Linked DNA regions of Drosophila melanogaster. The protein of the gene in region 1 interacts with the protein of each later gene in a pairwise test. Each region holds a gene or a part of one and is shown in the gene's direction. Other genes may lie near its edges.

Region 1 (7,194 bases):
TTTGATTGACAATCTTTCCATATGTTTCAGTCTAAACAAATAACAAATATCTGTAGCTCAATTAACAAAGTCAAAAAAAATTGTGTAAACAAGCTCTTTGATATTTTGGTATTTTCCAGGTAGTTTCCATAGAAAATGTATACAAATTTAGAACCAAAAGGATTTCATGTTAATGAAGTTAAACAGAATCTTAATTCACACAGGTTTTATTTTTGTGCCCTTAGCTGTGTGAGCACATTTTTGCCAAAAAAAAAAACGTGTTGCCATATTTTGGTGTAGTAACTTACGGTAATCACTTTGTACTTTGGCTGGTCTTTCATCGTTGATCATGTGTCTTCGGCGTGACGAAAGCGATAAGCAAAGAACTACCCTAATTAATTTGTAAACGATATCTTTAAGAGGAAAACCATGTGTAAAACTTTTCAACTTCCTCCTGAAACTGCAATGCAGTTCAGTTAAAGTAGAAAAAAGCAAAGCAGATCTGGATCATTATCCAGATTAGATCCAGATAAAAAAAAAGTGGGCGATAAGATAACGTAATTGGTGCGCTTGTGTAATCAACATCAAAACTTGTCGTTCTGCTTGGACAAATATTGGGGGATCAGGTACAATCTTTCGACAGTGGAAAAACAATCGTAAAAGACGAAGTGTACTAAGCAAACACAAGCAGGATTTTTAGACAAAAGCAAGATGTCATAAAGCAAACAAGAGCACTGGAAATTATTATACATATGCTATAACCAGAACAATGGTGAGATAAGGGATAAGATCTTGTGAGGTTCCGCGAGATAAGATAAAGGGGTAGAAATAGTTGAAGGAGGCACCAAAGAAGCTGCTAGAAAAGTGCCGATGACCCAATATCGCTCTTCTACATACATATGCACATATGTATGTATATGCAGTGCATATATCCATCCCTCTTTCTCCTATATCACTTGCCGCACAAAAACAACGCGAAACTGCAATGGCGAGTGGAATTTTCCCTTGTTTACAGCTATTATGCCTGTGTGCGTGCGTTTGTATTTGTCGTTGTATGACATAATAAAAGCCGCCCAAGATGCCCCCCCAAAAAATGAGGAAGAACTTAAACGAAACGCTGGTAAATCGCTAAAGACTCAAAAGTAATGGAAGAAATACCAGTTGTTAACGAGTATCTTCCCAATTGGATCGCATAAAGCAAAATTACCAAATGCCATTTCCGATGGAAGAGAAACAAGTAAACAAAGAATAGAGAAAACTCATACGCACACAGATGTTATGGGTTCTCCAATTGGAAGGAGGTTCAAACTGTAAATAAATGAGGGACCACAGCGTTGCCAGATCCCCAAACATGATGTGTCGGTTGCGATAATTAATTAATAAAAATTTCCTGCAAACAGAAGTATCAATAAAGCATTTATGTAAGCGGATTATTGTTATAGACTTGTGGTTACAATCAACGAAACTACTAAAGCAGCGCAAAGAACGTGGCAACGCTGCAGGCGGCCATCTTGAACATAAGACAAAACAGTAAATAAATAAGGCATAATAAAGTAAAAAATTAAATTTCATATATCTCCGGTGAAATCAATTAATTACTTTACTTACGAATCGTGCCACTACACATACATGGCCACAATTTCCATTATTTATTTCCGTCGTTCTCATTGTTTTTACCTCTGTGTGCGTCACAGATGATTTTACAGTAAAACAAAACATACTGACCCACACAGCTTCACATGTTTACATGTGTGCGTATGTGCGTATGCGTACGTGAGAAAATCAACCAACACCGTTACCCGATTTGTTAGCAGGTTACACTTATACTACACTTAACTATTGCACTACAAACCATTACAACCAAGCCTACTTGCCACCAATTGGAAAGGAAAGGAGTCGTGGACTCCCTCGCACTATTTTCATTTCATTTCTCTTTTGCTTTTTTTTATTCTTCGCACTACAAAATCGACTTTGCACTTTTTGTCGTCGTGTATGGCAACCGCTTTGGACACCATTACTTACAGTTTATTATTCATATTGGATGGCATTTTCACACTTAATGGTTGCAACTTAACGCACTGAGAAGAAATCGAGTCGAACGAAAATTGACTTTTGTTGTAAAACTTGCTTTGATTGGGGTGCAAACCTCCCAGCAATTTGTGATCTGATGTCGTCAAAAGTTAGTATAAAACTGAAGAAAATACCAACGTGCTACTCCTTTTATACGTTTCTCGCCGACTTTTTCGGTACATCTCTGGCCGGCTAAGTTTGGTCACACTAGGTTCAAGCTCCAGCAACCTATTGTCACAAACAACAGTTACTTCTTTAAGGGATTCTTAAATCTAATTTACGTGTTCCAATTTTATACAGGCGTACCTTTTCTGCTTTTACAATTGTAAATAACTTGAGGATATAGTATAGAAGTTTTACGTCGATTTCCTAAGCGGGTCTCATTAATTGTTAATATTGATTAACTTAAAAAACATAAGAAACGATCCAATTAGGCTAATGTCGAGATATGAATATCGTAATGGTAAATAATTACAGTTATGCTATAAAGTAACGTGACAGTTTTAAATAATTAACAGCTGTCAGATTGACAAATCCATGAAATTTAAGTACAACTTAAATAAAGCCTTTAACATCTAAGAGAATATCCCAATTACTAATTTACAATAATCAAAAAAATATTAGAAAATATCGATAACATTCTGGTCGTTCTCGCAACCCTAGTCACAACGCGTTTGGTCAAATTTAGGATCAGTCGTTCGTTCGTTCGTTGGAATAAAATAAACTCGGGAATTAAATCTTGGAAAAACGTGCGAATCCGTCATCCTTTCATCTAAAAAACCATGAGCGCCTTTCCCGGTACGTTCGCGTTCGACGAATATGGTCGGCCTTTCATCATCCTGCGCGACCAGGAGCGCCAGAAGCGCATCACAGGAACAGATGCCATAAAGGTAAATGAAACTGCGATTCACCATCTCCTGGCGTTGTATTCCGCATCCTGGACGAGCTGGTCAGGATCAGATTCGTAGGCAAATGCCCTGCGTGCAATTGGTGTGCTCACTAAGTCACAGGAGTGACGCATCGTCTGCGGAACATTCCAGATGTTCTAAAAAGCCGGTTTTAAATAGTCTTTTTGTTGCTAATATTTAATAATATGCTGAATATATCCTTCTTTGGTAGTGAGCTATTACTCCGAACAAGCTTTCATTCTTTAGTTGCACTCATAAACAATGCATTTTGGAAAAACAATTTGTCTGGCCGATTTTGAGGTTAAAACGGCGCCCAGATGTTTTTCTTTCATTGCCGGCTGAGTCACGCGCACTGCGAAAAGTTTGGAAGTCCGGATAAAAAGTCACTGAAATGCTTAAAGAACCCAATAATTCCATCTGCAGATGCAGATTCTATTGCTTTTGTATGAAAATTACTGTATACACATGTCCATCCTAGTCTTCATTCAGTTATTGGTATATTCTAGAATCCAACTAGAATATCAATTTAGACCACGTCGATTTAAACTTTAAATTTGAAAGTAAATCTTAACATTTGATTTAGAAGCAGTTGCGCTTGAGAAAGATCTAATTTCCATTCACCATCTTACTGATAAATAATTGTAATGTCTACCCTAAGTACTTACTAAATTATCCATTTTGCTCCAACAGACGCACATTATGGCCGCCCGCCAGATCGCGTCCACCCTGAAGACCTCTCTGGGTCCCAAGGGTCTGGACAAGATCATGGTCAGTCCCGACGGCGACGTGACTGTGACCAACGATGGCGCCACCATCATGAAGCTGATGGAGGTTGACCACGAGATTGCCAAGCTGATGGTGCAGCTGTCGCAGTCACAGGACGACGAGATCGGCGATGGAACCACCGGCGTTGTCGTGCTGGCCGGAGCACTCTTGGAGCAGGCCGAGGGACTGATCGACAGGGGCATTCATCCCATTCGCATCGCCGATGGCTTTGAATTGGCCGCCCAGTGCGCCATCAAGCAGCTGGACGCGATCGCCCAACCCTTCCCCGTGGACCCGAAGAACAAGGAGCCACTTATCCAGATCGCCATGACCACGCTGGGCAGCAAGATCGTGAACAAGTGCCATCGTCAGATGGCCGAAATGGCTGTGGATGCTGTGCTGAATGTGGCCGACATTGAGAAGAAGGACGTGAACTTCGAGCTCATCAAGATCGAGACCAAGGTGGGCGGTCGCATGGAGGACTCGATGCTGGTGAAGGGTGTCATCGTTGACAAGACCCTCAGCCATTCGCAGATGCCCAAGGAGCTAAGGAACGTCAAGCTGGCCATTCTCACCTGCCCGTTTGAGCCCCCGAAGCCAAAGACCAAGCATAAGCTCGATGTTACCTCCGCGGAAGACTACAGGGCGCTGCGCGAGTACGAGCAGGAGAAGTTCACCCAGATGGTCAAGCAGGTGAAGGACGCCGGCGCCACCCTTGCCATCTGCCAGTGGGGCTTCGATGATGAGGCCAACCACCTGTTGCTTCAGCAGGAGCTGCCCGCCGTGCGCTGGGTTGGCGGTCCGGAGATCGAGCTGATTGCCATCGCCACCGGTGGACGCATCGTGCCGCGTTTCGAAGAGCTCACGCCTGAGAAACTAGGTGTTGCGGGACTCGTTCGCGAAATGGGTAGGTTTTCATTTTATAGTCGGATTTAGTTCATTCCTAAGTGATTTTGATTCTTTCAGCATTCGGAACATCCAAGGACAAGATGCTGGTCATCGAGGAGTGCAAAAACTCCAAGGCTGTGACCATCTTCTTGCGTGGAGGTAACGCCATGATCATTGCGGAGGCTAAGCGATCGATTCACGATGCCATCTGCGTGGTGCGTTCGCTTGTGAAGGACTCGCGTATTGTTTACGGTGGTGGAGCTGCCGAGATTAGCTGCTCGTTGGCTGTGGCCAAGGAGGCCGACCAACTGTCCACGCTGGAGCAGTACGCCTTCCGCGCCTTCTCCGTGGCCCTGGAGAGCATTCCGCTGGCTCTGGCGGAGAACAGCGGCCTGCATCCCATCGAGACGTTGTCGGAGCTGAAGGCCAGACAGGTGGCCGAGAAGAAGTCCAGCCTGGGTGTCGACTGCATGCTGTCGGGTGATTCGGACATGAAGAGCCATAACGTGGTGGAGTCGCTGCACTCGAAGAAGCAGCAGATTCTGCTCTCCACGCAGCTCGTCAAGATGATACTCAAGATCGACGACGTGCGCTCCAAGAACGAAGGCGGCATGTAACGACCGCCCAGCAGCAGCATCATACATCAGATCTAGTTTCAGATTCACATCCCCACGCTTCGCTATCTCTTCACGAACAACACCCGCGTCAAGCCTCATCTCTATGTACATCTGTATTAATTGTTTAATTTTATTAATCCACAAGTTCTTTGGAAAAGAAGAAAATTACATTAAACAAGGGGCTATCCCTGTTCAAATACACTAAAACGAAACTAAGACATCGACTAGACTTTCTTGCCATTGATGGTGGTTAGCTGCTTGCGATTGATTTGATCGAAGAAGAGCAATCCCGCCGAGCGTTCCACGCTCTCTGGCGGCACCTGAAACACACTGATGGGAGTGTCGTTGCTGATCACCTGATTGGGCATCACGTACGACTCCATGTGGAGTTTGTGGTCCGCGGACTCGCCCACAATAACCTTGTAGAAGTGGGTGGGAACAGCCACGGTGTTGGCGCCGATGACCTCGTACTTGACATACGATTTCCCATCGTCCTCCTTGTGCGGTAGGTACAGTGGACCCGTACAGACGTACACATTGGAGTAGGTCTTGGTCAGTCTGCGCACGTGTGCCTCCAGCGTGTTCCAGGCATCCCGGTTGAAGCCCTGGCCCACCTGTGGCGCCATGTTCGATAGGTAGAAGGTTTCGTCGCAGTGCTTCTGGTGCAGTCGGTGATTTCCAGCGGCGGCCATGTGCCCGCGATCATAGCCCGATCGTCGGTAGTCCGTGTTCTGTGACCTGAAGAACGGATGGATGCTCTCGTCCTGCTTGAAATCGCACTTCGATCTGTCCACGGCATCGTTCTTCGCCACCGACTCTGCCGTAAGGTGCTCGAACACCCAGTGGGGCACCCGGTTCCTCCGATCGTAAGACAGCACGTAGTCCGAATGGGAGCGCACGTGATCGAGTCCGGGAAATCCATACTTCATGATCTGTCCGATCCGAGACGGAGTTGCCGTCAAGCTTACATTGTTCTCTTGGGCGGGAATCAAACTGGCAGCCGAAACAGTTCCAAAGGTGGGCAGACCAGGCAGCCGCGGAAGGCCACTTGTGGAGCCATTGTGCTGGCGTTCGCGTTCCACGTGGGTGCCCAGATAAAAGGCGCCCAGGGCGGTGGCACCCAAAGCTAATACGCCACCCACTCGAGGAGCACTCATTTTGGCAGTTTTATTTAAAAATCTGGACAAAAAGACCAGATAGCGACCGCTATTGCACAATTCAGGTACTTTAGTGTGACCACAGTTTAAAGTGGTCGAACGAACTACAGTGAAAGACATAAATATATGCACGGATTGCTAAATTTGCTTGGGAAAATAAGTAAGTATACTATGTATATTTCATTAATGTATTAATAACTTAAAAAGGCGACGTGTGAGCTTTAACCGTAGCCCAAGTCGCAAATGGTGGTACTTACCAATTCCATATAGATAGATGGGCTTCGTGAACAGCAAGATATCCGAGCTCGAATAACTCGTCGTGGCAGTTCAAAATTCCAGGGCTGGATATCCCCTCGTCTTATGTGCTCTAATACACACTCGGCGTGTAGCAGGTTGTAAGAAATTCGCGTTTAAAATCAAATAACTTAGTGGGCGCTGCCATGTTTTAAAATTTATTCGATAACCGATCCCCGACTTAAAAGGAAAAGTGTGACCATCAATTTATAAAATTTAGCTTATATTTTGTAAAAAAATTGTTGCTTCTTTGTTTAGGAATTTTTAAGAAAAAGCAATTGTGTCGCAGAACAAAACGATGGCTAAAACAGTAATTTTAAAAAGGCATACAACACATATAAAATTATTTTTAAGGTTAAAGAAAGATTTTTATAACAGAATTAAAATCTTCTAATTTTAAAGCAATATTAGGCGAACCCAAATACATGCCATTGTACAATGTAGAATTTAATGTTAAATCATCTCTATGTTAAAATAACAAAATATAAACATTGTCAATTGGAAGAACGATTCAAA
Region 2 (7,446 bases), on another chromosome or scaffold:
TGGACCTGAAACTGGAACCCGAAGAGATTGAGACCCTCGGCGACCAAATCAACAGGGCTGTCTCATCGCTAAAGAATGTTGAAGCCATAATCTACAGGACCAAACCCGATTTGGACAGGGTCAATAATCTGCAGAGCATTGCCAATGCCACCAAGGAGAAGGCCGATAAGATCCTGGACTCTGCCAATTCGGTCGTGGAGAGCCTGGCGGCGGCAGATGAATCCCAGGGTAAAGCCAAGGATGCCATTCAGCAGGCGAACAGTAACATTGAGTTGGCCGGTCAGGATCTGGAGAAGATCGATGAGGAAACGTATTCCGCCGAAGCTCCGGCCAATAACACAGCACAGCAGGTTGAGAAATTGGCCAAGAAAGTGCAGAAACTGCAGAATAACATAATGAAGAACGATCGGGATGCCAAGGAGATAACCAAGGAAGCGGGTAGCGTCAAACTGGAGGCCATGAGGGCTCGCGGAGAGGCCAATAATCTTCAGTCTGCCACAAGTGCCACCAATCAGACCCTCACCGATCGCGCCAGTCGCTCCGAAAATGCCAGGGAAAGGGCCAAGCAGCTGCTCCAGAGGGCCTCCAAACTAACAGTCGATACGAACGCCAAGCTAAAGGATCTGAACGATCTGCAGACCGTCTATCTGAACAAGAACCAACAACTACTGCGATTGCAGGCCGAGATCGGCCCCTTGAACAAGGAGCTCAACGAGCACCTGATTCACATCAAGGAGCGGGGGTCGCACTACAGGCAGTGCTATACGTAGATTGGGAAACGTAAGTAATGCAGTTTTAATACTATTACAAGCAAATAACTAAAATCAGTAATATTTTTTAGATCCATTTGCGTGGCCATCTAAATTGCCATATTCATGAACAAATAAGCAAATTGCGAAATACGAGAATCAAGTAAAGAACTACAAGAACAACTAGGAAGGCGACAGTTATTATGTAACCACTGTTAAGTTACCGTTACGTTTTGTACTCTAAGCGAAAACCAACACTGCAATGTTAATTTTAAAAATTGAGCGAAAGAAATCGATGCCTTCACTTTTAATGTGTACACACTGAGCTAAGTTTTTCTTATACTATCCCTATACCATTTTGTAATGCAATTAATGTAATTAAATAAAACTACTTAAATGTGGAAATGTCTAGCATTTGTTTGGGCTCGATCGGGAGAGGAATGAGATAATGGTCATTTAAATGGAGAGCGACAGGTGAGAGTATTTTTGCAACACAGTTCTATTTCCCAACAATAAATCTTTTTCGCTGAACAAATGCAACTACTTTTAAGTATAATAACAGAAATATATTATTTACAAACGTTGAATAAAACAATATTAATAACGTTGGAAATGAAGCCTAAAAGCTTAATATAGATAAAAAGTATTTAAACAGAAGTTTGTTGGAGTTCAAATATATACAAAAATTCGGCTTATGCTATTTTCACTGTACTTCGATTTCTATACTATTGTATACTTATGCTGCCATAAACATTGCCAATTTATTCCATTTTCCGTTTTGTTTTAGTTCTTCTGCGCGTCGCGTGCGGCTTGTTTTTGTTTTTAATTTTCGTCCAAATAATTTTCCACATTTTTTTTTCGGGGGCCAGAGGTTCTTTTAAAACCGGAAGTTGTTACGAATGGATCACCGTTACAGAAGATCGTTAAGGAGCTCAGCAGGTATTTAATAACAATTAAAAAATTAATAATGCAGTTGGCACAGTTGCAGAGAAGCCCACTTCAAGCACAAAGGTCAAGGTAATGCAAAAAATGCAAAAGTGCTTGAAATCATGCAATTTCTAGTTATCCCTGCCTGCTCGAAAATCACTAAAGTTTTGCATGAAAAGAGTACCCCTGCTGGCTATCGATAAGAGTTATCGCTTCGGCCCCTATCGATATTTCAAAAGTTCATCAATTTCAGCTGAAATCTCAACAAGTGCAAGTTTCGAGCTCTGTTTTAATTAAACACAGACGTGTCGCCGAACAAGTCGGCATTGTTTGGATCGGTTTTCAGGTTGCAGTGCGTGAAAATATATATATATTTTTTATTTATTTATTGCGACATCCGTGCGGCCACTCACACACACAGGCGCGATTGACAGATGTGCGACGTGCATACGTATAAAGAGCACACACTCGCACACACGCACGCAGTGCGGATGTTCTGATTTTATGCAAGAAACTGAGTTTATTTTTAAAATAAGAAGAACATCCGAAAATATAATGCCAACGAAAGGCGACGGGCGAGCGACAAAAGAGCGTTTGTAAGCGCAGAAAAAAGGGACACGGCGAAAAGGAACGGGGACGGACGATAAACCAAAATAACGGGAACATCGGCGGCGGTGGAAAATTCAGAAAATAAGAAAATCAAAACAAAAGCAAAATAAAACGACATCTGACGTGCAGCTTCAAGTGCTTTGCCCCCAGAGTACGTTTTCCCCAAATGGACTGGGTTTTTCATTTTGCGAGCAATCTGCAATCTTTCCCATTCAATTGAGGTCGCGTCGGAATCTGCATAAGTGCATAAAAAAAAATAGTAAAAATTTTAAAAATTCTGAATTCGAAACAAATAATTTCATACAGTTTTCTGAAAAGCTTTTAAAGTTGATCAATATATTGTTACCGTTAAAATTTTTATAAAAAGATATCGTTTTTATTAATAAATTAATCGCATTCATTTTAAATTATTAATCAACAGTGTAATAAACTATTTGCTATAATACTAAAACTTGCGTTCAACTACATATAAAAATAATTTAAAATTTTAACATTATAAAATGTTTTTCGAAATGATCTTAAGCAGAGTTCTTTGAAACCATAAAGTAAATAATGATCTCAGACATCGAAAAATGGGAAATTATATTACTTCCGATTCCGTCCGAGTCTGAGAGAATTTAAACGGGAAAGTCTTGCATATTAAAATGCCCAACCCCTTTGTTGTTTACTTTAATTTCGTTTTTTATTCCTTGCATATACACCCACTGACACCCACATCAACATTTACCGCTGACAGTTTCGCATGCGATTTGCTTGAAACACATTGACAGAGCCGAAATCAAGCGCCAGCAGAGTATACAGATAGCCCGGCATTTCCCATGGACGACGAACTGGAAGACAAGGTGTTCTATCAGACATACGTATCGCACATGAAAATCCTGTCCAAATTTGCGGTGGGCTTCTCGTCCATCAACTCCCCGCTGGCCTACATATGGAAGCTGTGCCGACTGTATGTCCTTCGGCCGGAGGTCATCTTCTGCGGCTTGATCCTCTTCGTCCTGTTGCTCTATTTGCAAGCGGTAGATGTGTGGAGTCGCAGCATCCTGGGACGCATCCAGGCAACCCTCGGTCGCCAGAAGGCCGTCAAGATGATGGAGCTGTCGGCCAGTGCTGGTGATCACCAGAGCTGGGAGGAGATGAAGCAGCAGAGCTCGGCCTTCGCGGTCCTGGGACGCAGGCCAAGAATGGAGGATAGGTTCGTATGAAGTCACAATTCCCAGGGATAAACTATATTGTAGATAGCACTTACATAGTAGCTGAAATATACAAAGATCTGTCACGATCGACAGCATTTTAGGATTTACAAATTGGCTAAGAGTGTTTTTATTAGATTTAAATGATCTATTGAGGAATAAATTCTTGGCAACACTCATTTTCATTCATTAAATAGCATTGCAACACTTTATAGCTATATAAATCTTTTCCATATGTCAAATTTAGACTAGATAATAATAATTTGGGTCTTTAGAAACAACTTAGTGACATCTCTATTCAAATGTACACATTCCAAGAAACTAAAGACTAAAGACTTTTATTTACATCTTAGGTTTATTATCGAGGAGAACATCAACAACAACACTGGTATCTCCTTCTTTGCCGTATTTGACGGTCATGGCGGCGAGTTTGCCGCAGACTTCGCCAAGGATGTGCTGGTGAAGAACATCTACAATAAGATCATCGAGATGTCCAAGCTTCTGAAGACGGAAGGAAATTCCGGAGATTACGATAAGAGTCCCTATTTAGCGCGCAAGCAGAGTCGCAAGGATGCAAACAAGGAGAACACAGAACCGACGGCAGGGGTGATGCGAAAGGATAGTCTAAGGAAGGCCCACAGCACCACGGCGGATTGTAGTGCTATTAAGCAAAAGACAACCGAGGCATCCATTGCCGACATCTACACAGTCCAATTAAACTCGGCGATGAGAGCCAGTGGGAATTTGGGAGCCGCCAAGGATTCCTTCCTCAACAACAACAACAACGGACAGAACGGAGCAGCCAATGCGCCACCTCCAAACTACGAAGCCAAGTGCTACATCGAACACGGACGTATTAACTTTGGTAAACTGATCACGGACGAGATCATGTCGGCCGACTACAAGCTTGTGGAGCAGGCCAAGAGAGCGGTAAGGGAACCTCTTTTTACTTAATCTTAAGAGACAATTCTAACTGATCTTAATTGCAGACCAACATTGCGGGAACCACCGCTCTAATAGCGATAGTTCAGGGCTCAAAGCTGATTGTGGCCAATGTGGGCGACTCCCGCGGAGTCATGTACGACTGGCGTGGAATCGCCATACCGCTTTCATTCGATCACAAGCCGCAGCAAGTGCGAGAACGAAAGAGAATCCACGATGCAGGCGGATTCATCGCCTTCCGAGGCGTTTGGCGTGTGGCCGGGGTGTTGGCCACGTCACGTGCTCTAGGGGACTATCCGCTTAAAGATAAGGTGGGAAAAATGGGATGGTTCCAACGAGTTACTAACGAGGCTAATCTTGACACTATTTTTAACCACACGCTTACAGAATCTGGTGATTGCTACGCCGGACATTTTGACCTTCGAACTAAACGATCACAAGTGAGTGAACAACACTTTGCAACAACAATCCAAACGACCATTTGATAGTTGTAAAGTGCATTACATTAGACCTGTATTTAATGAAATACTTTCTTATAGACCCCATTTTCTGATACTGGCATCCGATGGGCTGTGGGACACGTTCAGCAATGAGGAGGCCTGCACTTTTGCGTTGGAGCATCTGAAAGAGCCGGACTTTGGCGCCAAATCACTTGCCATGGAGTCGTATAAACGTGGCTCCGTGGACAACATCACCGTGCTGGTGATCGTCTTCAAGAACGATGTCTACAAGATTGGCAGCTCAGCGGGAAAAGCGGGAGAAGAATCCCTAAAAGTCCCAGCCAAATCTCAACCAGTTGCGCCTGCAGTTGTGCAACGCTCGAATTCAATCAAAACCAAATGAAAAACGATAGATAAGAGTGCCTGCTAAGAAATGCTCTTCAGCTTTTCTCCTAAAAATTTCCTTCTCCCCAAGAAAAACAAACGAAAGTGCCCGAATTTTTCTAGTTAGGCATTTTGCTAAATACCTTTTGACCTTTTTGTTACTTGTCCAAAGGCAGCGTTCATTCATCCCATTACAGACATGCATACACATTCATCACTCGAAAATGCGTTCATCATTTGTCTTAATATTAAGGTTGTTTGTTAGTCAATGTTGTTTTGTTTAAACAAAATATGTTTGCATCCGCCGCCACATTGCCGTGCACTCCGTTTTTCCAATTCGCACACGAAAATCATCACAGTCACTGACTCAGTCAGGGTAACATCATCACGTAACTATTTATTTAATTTATTTGTTATACGTGTAAAAGAAAACATTTTCTAAATGTCGAAATGTTTTTACGAATAAAACAATGCATACGAAACGAGAACATTTCGTTTTGCTACTTAAATTCAATTTCTAATTGTTTTTCTCAACATTATTCGTTTTGGATTTCAATGAAATGATCTGGTTTGTAGTTTAGGGATTAAAAACATCCACTTTCGATTAAAGTTTATATAAAATGTTTTCTTTATTAACATTTACTTATCTTCTGCCTAAACTAAATTGTCCCACTGTTTATACTATTCCCATCTATCCGGAGAAAACTCTATAGCCCAAAGCCTAAAGTTAAAACTAATTCAGCCGCTACAAGATACACAAATTTCAGTTAAGGACGCTTAAATTTTATTTTTGTTTTAGCTAAACAAATTTGACGCCCGTTACAAAGGTCAGTAGCTTAGTGAGCCGAAACAGACACCTGCCAGACGCGGATGGTGTTGTCGGAGTAGCCGGCGAACAGAGTCTGGCCGTCGGTGGACCAGGCCAGGGACAGGCACTGGGGCTGATCGGCCTTCGACGTGGGCGAAACGACCTCGGGGCGCAGCTCCTCAACGGTCTTCTTGCATGCCAGATCCCAGATCTTGATCGAGGGTCCGTAGGCCACGCACAGCCAGTAGCGGTTGGGCGAGAAGCACAGGGCGTTGATGATGTCGTTGTGCTCCAGAGTGTACAGGTTCTTGCCGTCATTGAGGTCCCACAGCAGGGCCTTGGAGTCCTTGCCACCTGAGGTGCACAGGGAGCCATCGGGCGAGACGGTCACCGTGTTCAGGTAGCCGTTGTGGCCGTGGTGGTTGTTCTTCAACTTGCAGTTAGCCAAGTTCCAGACCTTGACGGTGCGATCCCAGCCGCAGGACACGATGATCGGGTTGGAGTGGTTGGGCGAGAAGCGCACGCACGACACCCAGTCGGTGTGGCCATCCTCCTGGATGGTGAACTTGCACTCAGCCAGGGTGTTCCACAGCTTGATGGTCTTGTCCCGAGAGCCGGACACGATCTGACGGTTATCGGCCGAGAAGGCAACCGACAAAACGTCCTAGAAAGCGAACAAGCATTTGACGATTAGCTAATGGTATTGGTATGGTTTTCATAAAAATAATATATTTACTGGATATTTCACTGACCAACTGAATGGGCATAGTCCCAACTCAATTAGTCAGTGAACGGAATCCAGATGGGTTTCTTGCAACTAATTAGGAATCAATGGGTATCAGAGATTGTTTGCCTACTTACGATGGAGCTTCAAGCAATTTATAGCCGAGACTCGAGCGAAGGGTGAAGCGTACGTCGTACAGATGTCAACCAGTAATTCTGCCTCGCATAGGCGCAATATATATTTTTTCGATTTGTACGCGGCAAAGGCGGGCCTAACCTCACTCCTAACCTTACATTTAGCCTTTTGCCGGTACAGATCGGTTCAAAATCTCAGTTCCCTAAACGAACTAAATGCAATTGGAATCTTATCCCACCTTAGTGTGTCCCTCGAAGCGACGGGTGGTCTTGCCGGCGGCCAAATCCCACAGGCGAAGGGTCTGATCCCAGGATCCGGACAGGGCGTAGTTGCCATCGGAGGAGAGCACCACGTCGCTGATGAAGTGCGAGTGTCCGTAGAGACGCTTCTGGGGGTAGCCGTAGTTGGTGTCCTCGTCGCGGGTCAGCTTCCACACGATCAGGGTCTTGTCTGCGAATCGAGATGGTGGCCATTAATATACGCACGTGCTACCAGATAAATCCGAAGAATTTCAATGGCGATTACTTACCACGGG
Region 3 (5,582 bases), 4.0 Mb from region 1:
TTCAGTGTTAAAGCTTTGACCAGCGGCTTCTCGACGGCGGGCGGCGGTTGCCTAACTCTGGAAGACCAGCTCCCGCTCCACCGACAAGTACTCCAGCATCTGCGCCGGCACTGGCAACTGGGCCAGCTGTTCGCGAGACATCTGGCGCTGCAGAACACGGCGGCATAAGTCCTGCAGCTTGGGCATGTTGGAGTACCGGCTCAACGGGTACTTGAGGATCACTGGAAACGGTGGCTGCATCTCGTTGGGAACCTTCACAAAGCACACAAAGTTGTCGTTGGTGCAGCGGTGCAAGATATCTTCGATCATCTCGACAATGGACTCGTACTTAAGTTCCTCGAAGTGCCAAAAATTGTCGCGATATTCCAGTCGATAATGCAGGGTTACGTTCACAATCCGAAAGCTGAGCGTGAATTGGGATCCGCTGGTTTCCGAGTCGCGGACTAGAAACGACCCAGTCGGCTTGTCACTCAACTGCCGCTGCGAATCGCGCCTGGAGATCTCACCCCAGTACCACACTTGGCTAAAAACAAACAAAGGGCATGAGTCATCGATCGTTGATGGACGGAGAAACACGGCGCTTACTTGAGCATCTCGGAGCAGGCCTTGTACATGATCTGGTTGGGCGAGTGGGCGTCCTCGCGCTCAAGCCATTTCTTCCGGATAAAGCGCAAGTAGTCGTGTGTGAATGGTAGCGTGGGTTCCGGACAGATGGCCGGCGTAAGGAACTCGTAGGTGGCATCAGTAGTTCCGCCGTCGTCGCAGTCGCCCATGGAGTGCCAGTTTCGCAGGGAGCTGAGCCCTTGGCCCACCTTCCTTCGTAGTCTGGCAAACACGTTTCGCTTGTCCTTGTCCCGCCTTCTGCGCAGAGTTCCTGTGCCCGTGCCCCCATTGCTGCAGCTGGCCATGGAAGAGTCCGCTGCCTCAAGGACGCACACTTCGTTGTTGTTGTTCTGCGATCCACTGGTGGAGACGGCGGCGGATGCAGTCACGGCCAGCGCCGAGTCGGACTTCTTGCGCCTGGTCAGCGAGTGGAACCAGCCCTTCTTTTCCTTCTCCCTGTCCCTCGGGGAGTCACCACCGCCAGTGAGCGCCTGGCTCCGCTGGCTGCTCTGGTTTTGACTCTGGTCGCCGTGGCTCATTTTGGAGTGGAATCGGATCGGATCGGAGCTTCCTCGTGGTGGAATTACATCATTGATCTAATTCGGAGCCGTGATCAATGCCTAACTTTATTGATAAGAACTATTTGTTTTCGTTGTACACAAGAACTGTCTTATCGCTATCGGTCGTGCGTAGCTGGTAAATGCTATCGATAACATAGGGGAGTTTAAAAAATTAAATTCTCTGCAAGGCAAAGCTTTAATTTATCCATTATTACAGCCCTCTGCTTTAGGCATTTTTAAAACTAACTTAAATTATTTCAAGTAAAATCTCGTTGACTTAAATATATTGTTTTCCATATTGCAATTTTTTAATATTAATGTAGTTTGTCATTCAAATAAGCTTTATTTTTATAAATCGCTACAAAAAATATGACATTAATTTGACAGAAATTTAAACACATCGATTTAACGATAACGAAATCGAACATACTTCCATCTCTAGCACATTTAAAATCATTTTAATCATAAGAAAACTAAGTCAAAAATGCAACACTCCAGCATGAAGGTGGATCTATCAAACTTTTTCAAGGACGAACGACGAAATTCGTTGGTTTTCATCGATGCAGCATGGAACAACATCAAGGACCTCCAGGACCACATACAAAACCTCTTCAGCTTGGCAAGATTTTTAAGAATCTCTAACTGCTAATTCTAAATAAATTGCATTCAAACAGAAGGACATTAGTCTGCTCACCTCAGATGGATGCTATCTGCCCCCGAGGGAGTCTATCAAAGTGTTGAACTCTGCCGAAGGACTCAAGTAGGTGAGCTTATTTCTTTTTACGATCTACTTGAGCATATTCATCCCTTGCAGAGCCTTTCGGTTTGCCAGCCACGATAGTGATACCTTTGTGAGCCCTGCTCCTGTAAAATCCAGTAAAAAGCGCAAGAATCGATCCGTCGAGGAACAGGTTCACCTAACCGCCTCCACTCCCCTCCGACCTTCAAAGCGCTCCAAGAACCAGAACAACTCAGAATGGATAAATATTGCAGAAAACCCATCTCGTGTGAGAAAGAAGGAGTTGCTAGATATGGCTCCTGGACCTTCTGTACAATCAAAGCTCTTGACAAACAAAGGCACTCCAAAGGCCCCTGAAACTCAGACAGAAGTTTCTAACATGTCAGCGAACATCGAGACAGAGAACAAGGAATCTGCTCCTCAGATTAAAAATAAATCCAAAAACAAGAAACCGACCAAATCGCCCGAGGCATCTGACCAGGTAGAGAATGAACCTGCTCCTAAGAGTATTTCTCGATGCACGCTCAAGGAGGGTAAAATGTCAGAAAGCAAGAATCAAGAGACATCGCCTGACATTCTATCAGAAAAATCTGGTGTGGTAACGAAGGAAAACGAAACTCGAGAGGAGCAACAGGACAAAACACACTTGGAGTCCAACAAAATTCCGGATAAACTATCTCAACTGAAAGCAGGGGACCAAATTGAGAAGAGTCCTGGCATTGCTGCTAGCCTCCTATCGATTTCGTTCCGCTCCCCTCTCTTGGAGATGCCCTTTAATGTTCCGCGCATATTTCAATTTCCCACTAAAAAACAACAAATTGAAATTCTGGAATATAAAAAACTTAAGCCCATCAGTCCTCGTTTTTTGCTGCAGAAAGGAGCTAAGAGTGATGATACGGCTAAACAATTCCCAAGCAATGGGAAGGATTCAACCTTAAAGCCTAAATCCTACGAAATTTTGCACGACGAAGAATTACCAGATGTAAAGGATAAAAAAAATGTTTCAGAAGGTATAAAGAGAGCAGTTGCACCTCTTTGCGAAGACATCATTGAAACATCAACCACTCTTCCGGGGGCCATAGGAGCAGTTGAATCCGCTTATCTGGACAATTCGACTGAAGCTGAGACCACTCTTCCGTCCGAAGCTGAAGCAACTAATCCACTTGAACTTACTGAGTCATTTCTACAGAACAACACATCTATGGAAAAAACACCCAAAGTCGAAAAAATTTTGCCAGATGACGGAAGTGCATCTCCGATTAAAAATAACGTTGATTCGAAGGATGTTAAAACGGTAACAGTGCCCATTTTTGAGGAACAACTAGTATCCGATTCCGACGACGATGTGATGTTGGTAGACGACTCCAATATCGACGTTTCATACGGCGACTCTGATATTGAACCGATTCCAGGTGAGATACGAGGCATTTAAATGGTAGATGTATGCTTATGAGTGCCCTTGACATCTTAGTAGTAGAAAATAGGCAATCTTTGGATATTATAAGGGACCTACTGCGGACTGCAACTCCACTCAATAGCCTGCCGTCCAGGGGCGATACGGTTATATTTAAACTGCTGAAGATTAAGGGAAACGCCAATTCTGGCACAACCGAATTTGTCGCCGGGAGGTGCACTTACGTTAACCGGCGCACCAAAATTGTCACAGTGGAAACAATAAGTAAGCGACTATCAATTTAAATTGTATACCCGAAACTGATCTCGTTAAAATTTTTAGCTTATCCCCCCGAAATCGGTCGCATGTTGCGTCAATATTATATGAGTGGGTTGGACGAGTCTTCTGAGGATGTGCGAACTTTAAGTATTCATCTCAAAGATATGCTTGAAGCCAAAATCATTGTAGCCACAATTGACTGATTATCATTTTTGTGTGTACATTCTTGAGTTCTATTTCCAGGGTTTCGTACATTTATAGCTTTTAAAATACAAACGATTAAACAACATCTATATGTACGAATTCATGTTAGTTGTCTATCCTCTACTTGATGTGCTCCTTGATCTTCTCCAGCAAGTCGTCGGCTTCGTCACCGGTCTTTACGCGTAGCAACAGCGATGTGGCCTTGGAGTCCTCTGGCGTGGGCACGCAGACCATCAGCACATTGTTCTTGCCCATGCGCTGGCAAGGTATACCCTTGCTAAGAATAAGGTTGACCAAGATGTTGCCCAGATTGGTGTCGGCGCGGACTAACAGTTGGATCTTTTCGGAGTCCTTGACAGGTTTCAAGTACAACGTGCCCACGCCACGATCGCCAAAGTCCTTGTCTTTCTTAATGAACACCTTACACCGCTTGGAGTATATAGCGTCATCCTCCACAACCTGTTTGGAGTAGAAGTTATATTATCTTTCCCTTCGAAAAGAAAATTCTTTTATCATCACCTGTTTAAACTCGACTTTTGGGGGCGTATCCTCTTCTTTTTCCTCCTCCGCAGGCGCTGCCGCTGCAGCTGGCGGATGAATGTTTCCGAGAGAGAAGGGCGTGGCACTGTTGGTGAAGGAAAAGCCCTTTGCGCCGTCTCCTGCTCCTCCAGGCGCTTTTCCGAAACCCGCAAACAACGAGGTGCTTGGCTTGTCGTCGTTGTTACTTTTCAGTCCGAAGGAAAAGCCATTGGTCTTCGGTGCCGAGAAGTTAGGCTCATCCTTTTTAGTGGTCGTATCCTTTGCTCCAAAGCTAAAAATGCTGGACTTAGGGGTATCATCGGATTTGGCTTCTCCAGTGGGTTTTGCTGTCAAACTGAAGATACTGGAGGAGGACGGCACTGGCGCAGTGAACGATGCCGTACTGCCGAAGGAGACCAGTGGTGTTGCGGTCGTGGTGGTTGTTCCACCACTGGTTATGGTGCAGTTGGGTTTCTTGGCTAAGGGCGATACGCTGGCGCCTATTGGCGCGCTGGGCTTGCCAAACGTAAACGTAGTAGCCGCTTTTGGTGGCGACGATGCACGGGACACCTTTGCAACTGGTTCTTGAGAACGAGCTTGTGCCGTTTTGGATTTCGTGGAGTTCGTTCTGGCGCTCTCCTCGTCTTGCAGATCCTTTAGATGCTCATCATAGTTCTTAAACACTGGAGTCAGTATGCAGTAGGGACTTTTGCCCATTTGGTCCTGCAGGAATTTTATGACGGACCGATTTAGGTCAGCAACGCTTTCACGGTACTCGGAGGTCTCCATGGTGGATGTGAGGCTAGTGCTGCTGCTGCTGGTTTTGGCCTCGCTACTCTCCTTCTTGGCAGCTGATATGTTGCCAAATATCGAGGTGGTCGGCTTGGCGCCATCGACGGTACTTGTTGATTCCTTGGCCGGCAAAGGAGAGGGGGCCGTGCTGCTGGTGCTGGCGGTGCCGCAAATGCTAGTGCTGACAGGCCGATCGGCCGAACTGGAACTGGAGCTGAACCCGAACGAGAATGCAGACTTTTTTGGCTCGCTGCTAGAGGTCGTGGCTGGTGCCGTCACATTGGCCAGGAAGGAGAAAGGCGAACCCGCGGCTGGGCTCGCAGCCGGCTTGCCGAAACCTAAAAGCAATCGGAGTGAGCAAGTCCCTCAGGTCTGCATGGATTTGATAGCTTACCGGAAAAGCCACTGAACACACTTTTGGGCTCTGCAGTCTTTTCTTCGGCGCCATCCTCTTCAGCGGCGGACGATCCACCGGCAATCTTGCGGCGCGCCT

The links.
Region 2: the proteins of CCT5 (region 1) and CG7115 interact in a two-hybrid assay, tested with the Drosophila melanogaster proteins (one large-scale study listed by BioGRID).
Region 3: the proteins of CCT5 (region 1) and coil interact in a two-hybrid assay, tested with the Drosophila melanogaster proteins (one large-scale study listed by BioGRID).

What each region holds. Positions count from the first base shown.
Region 1 is NT_033778.4:12,172,090-12,179,283, forward strand, and holds CCT5 (chaperonin containing TCP1 subunit 5), read left to right. Parts: upstream 1-2,712; 5' UTR 2,713-2,831; coding exon 2,832-2,939; intron 2,940-3,006; exon of another isoform or gene 3,007-3,021; coding exon of another isoform or gene 3,022-3,039; intron 3,040-3,647; coding exon 3,648-4,629; intron 4,630-4,688; coding exon 4,689-5,227; 3' UTR 5,228-5,427; downstream 5,428-7,194. Other genes in the region: EndoG (endonuclease G), read right to left, coding at 5,452-6,384.
Region 2 is NT_033779.5:7,819,621-7,827,066, forward strand, and holds CG7115 (uncharacterized protein), read left to right. Parts: upstream 1-1,914; 5' UTR 1,915-2,436; intron 2,437-3,021; 5' UTR 3,022-3,103; coding exon 3,104-3,480; intron 3,481-3,831; coding exon 3,832-4,408; intron 4,409-4,467; coding exon 4,468-4,731; intron 4,732-4,807; coding exon 4,808-4,860; intron 4,861-4,959; coding exon 4,960-5,263; 3' UTR 5,264-5,730; downstream 5,731-7,446. Other genes in the region: LanB1, read left to right, coding at 1-770; Rack1 (receptor of activated protein kinase C 1), read right to left, coding at 6,081-6,716, 7,150-7,361, 7,441-7,446.
Region 3 is NT_033778.4:8,123,265-8,128,846, reverse strand, and holds coil (coilin), read left to right. Parts: upstream 1-1,604; 5' UTR 1,605-1,647; coding exon 1,648-1,782; intron 1,783-1,837; coding exon 1,838-1,923; intron 1,924-1,977; coding exon 1,978-3,314; intron 3,315-3,373; coding exon 3,374-3,580; intron 3,581-3,637; coding exon 3,638-3,777; 3' UTR 3,778-3,866; downstream 3,867-5,582. Other genes in the region: Socs44A (suppressor of cytokine signaling at 44A), read right to left, coding at 52-523, 586-1,142; Nup50 (nucleoporin 50kD), read right to left, coding at 3,899-4,237, 4,298-5,427, 5,484-5,582. UniProt on the Drosophila melanogaster protein: Component of nuclear coiled bodies, also known as Cajal bodies or CBs, which are involved in the modification and assembly of nucleoplasmic snRNPs. Required for Cajal body formation.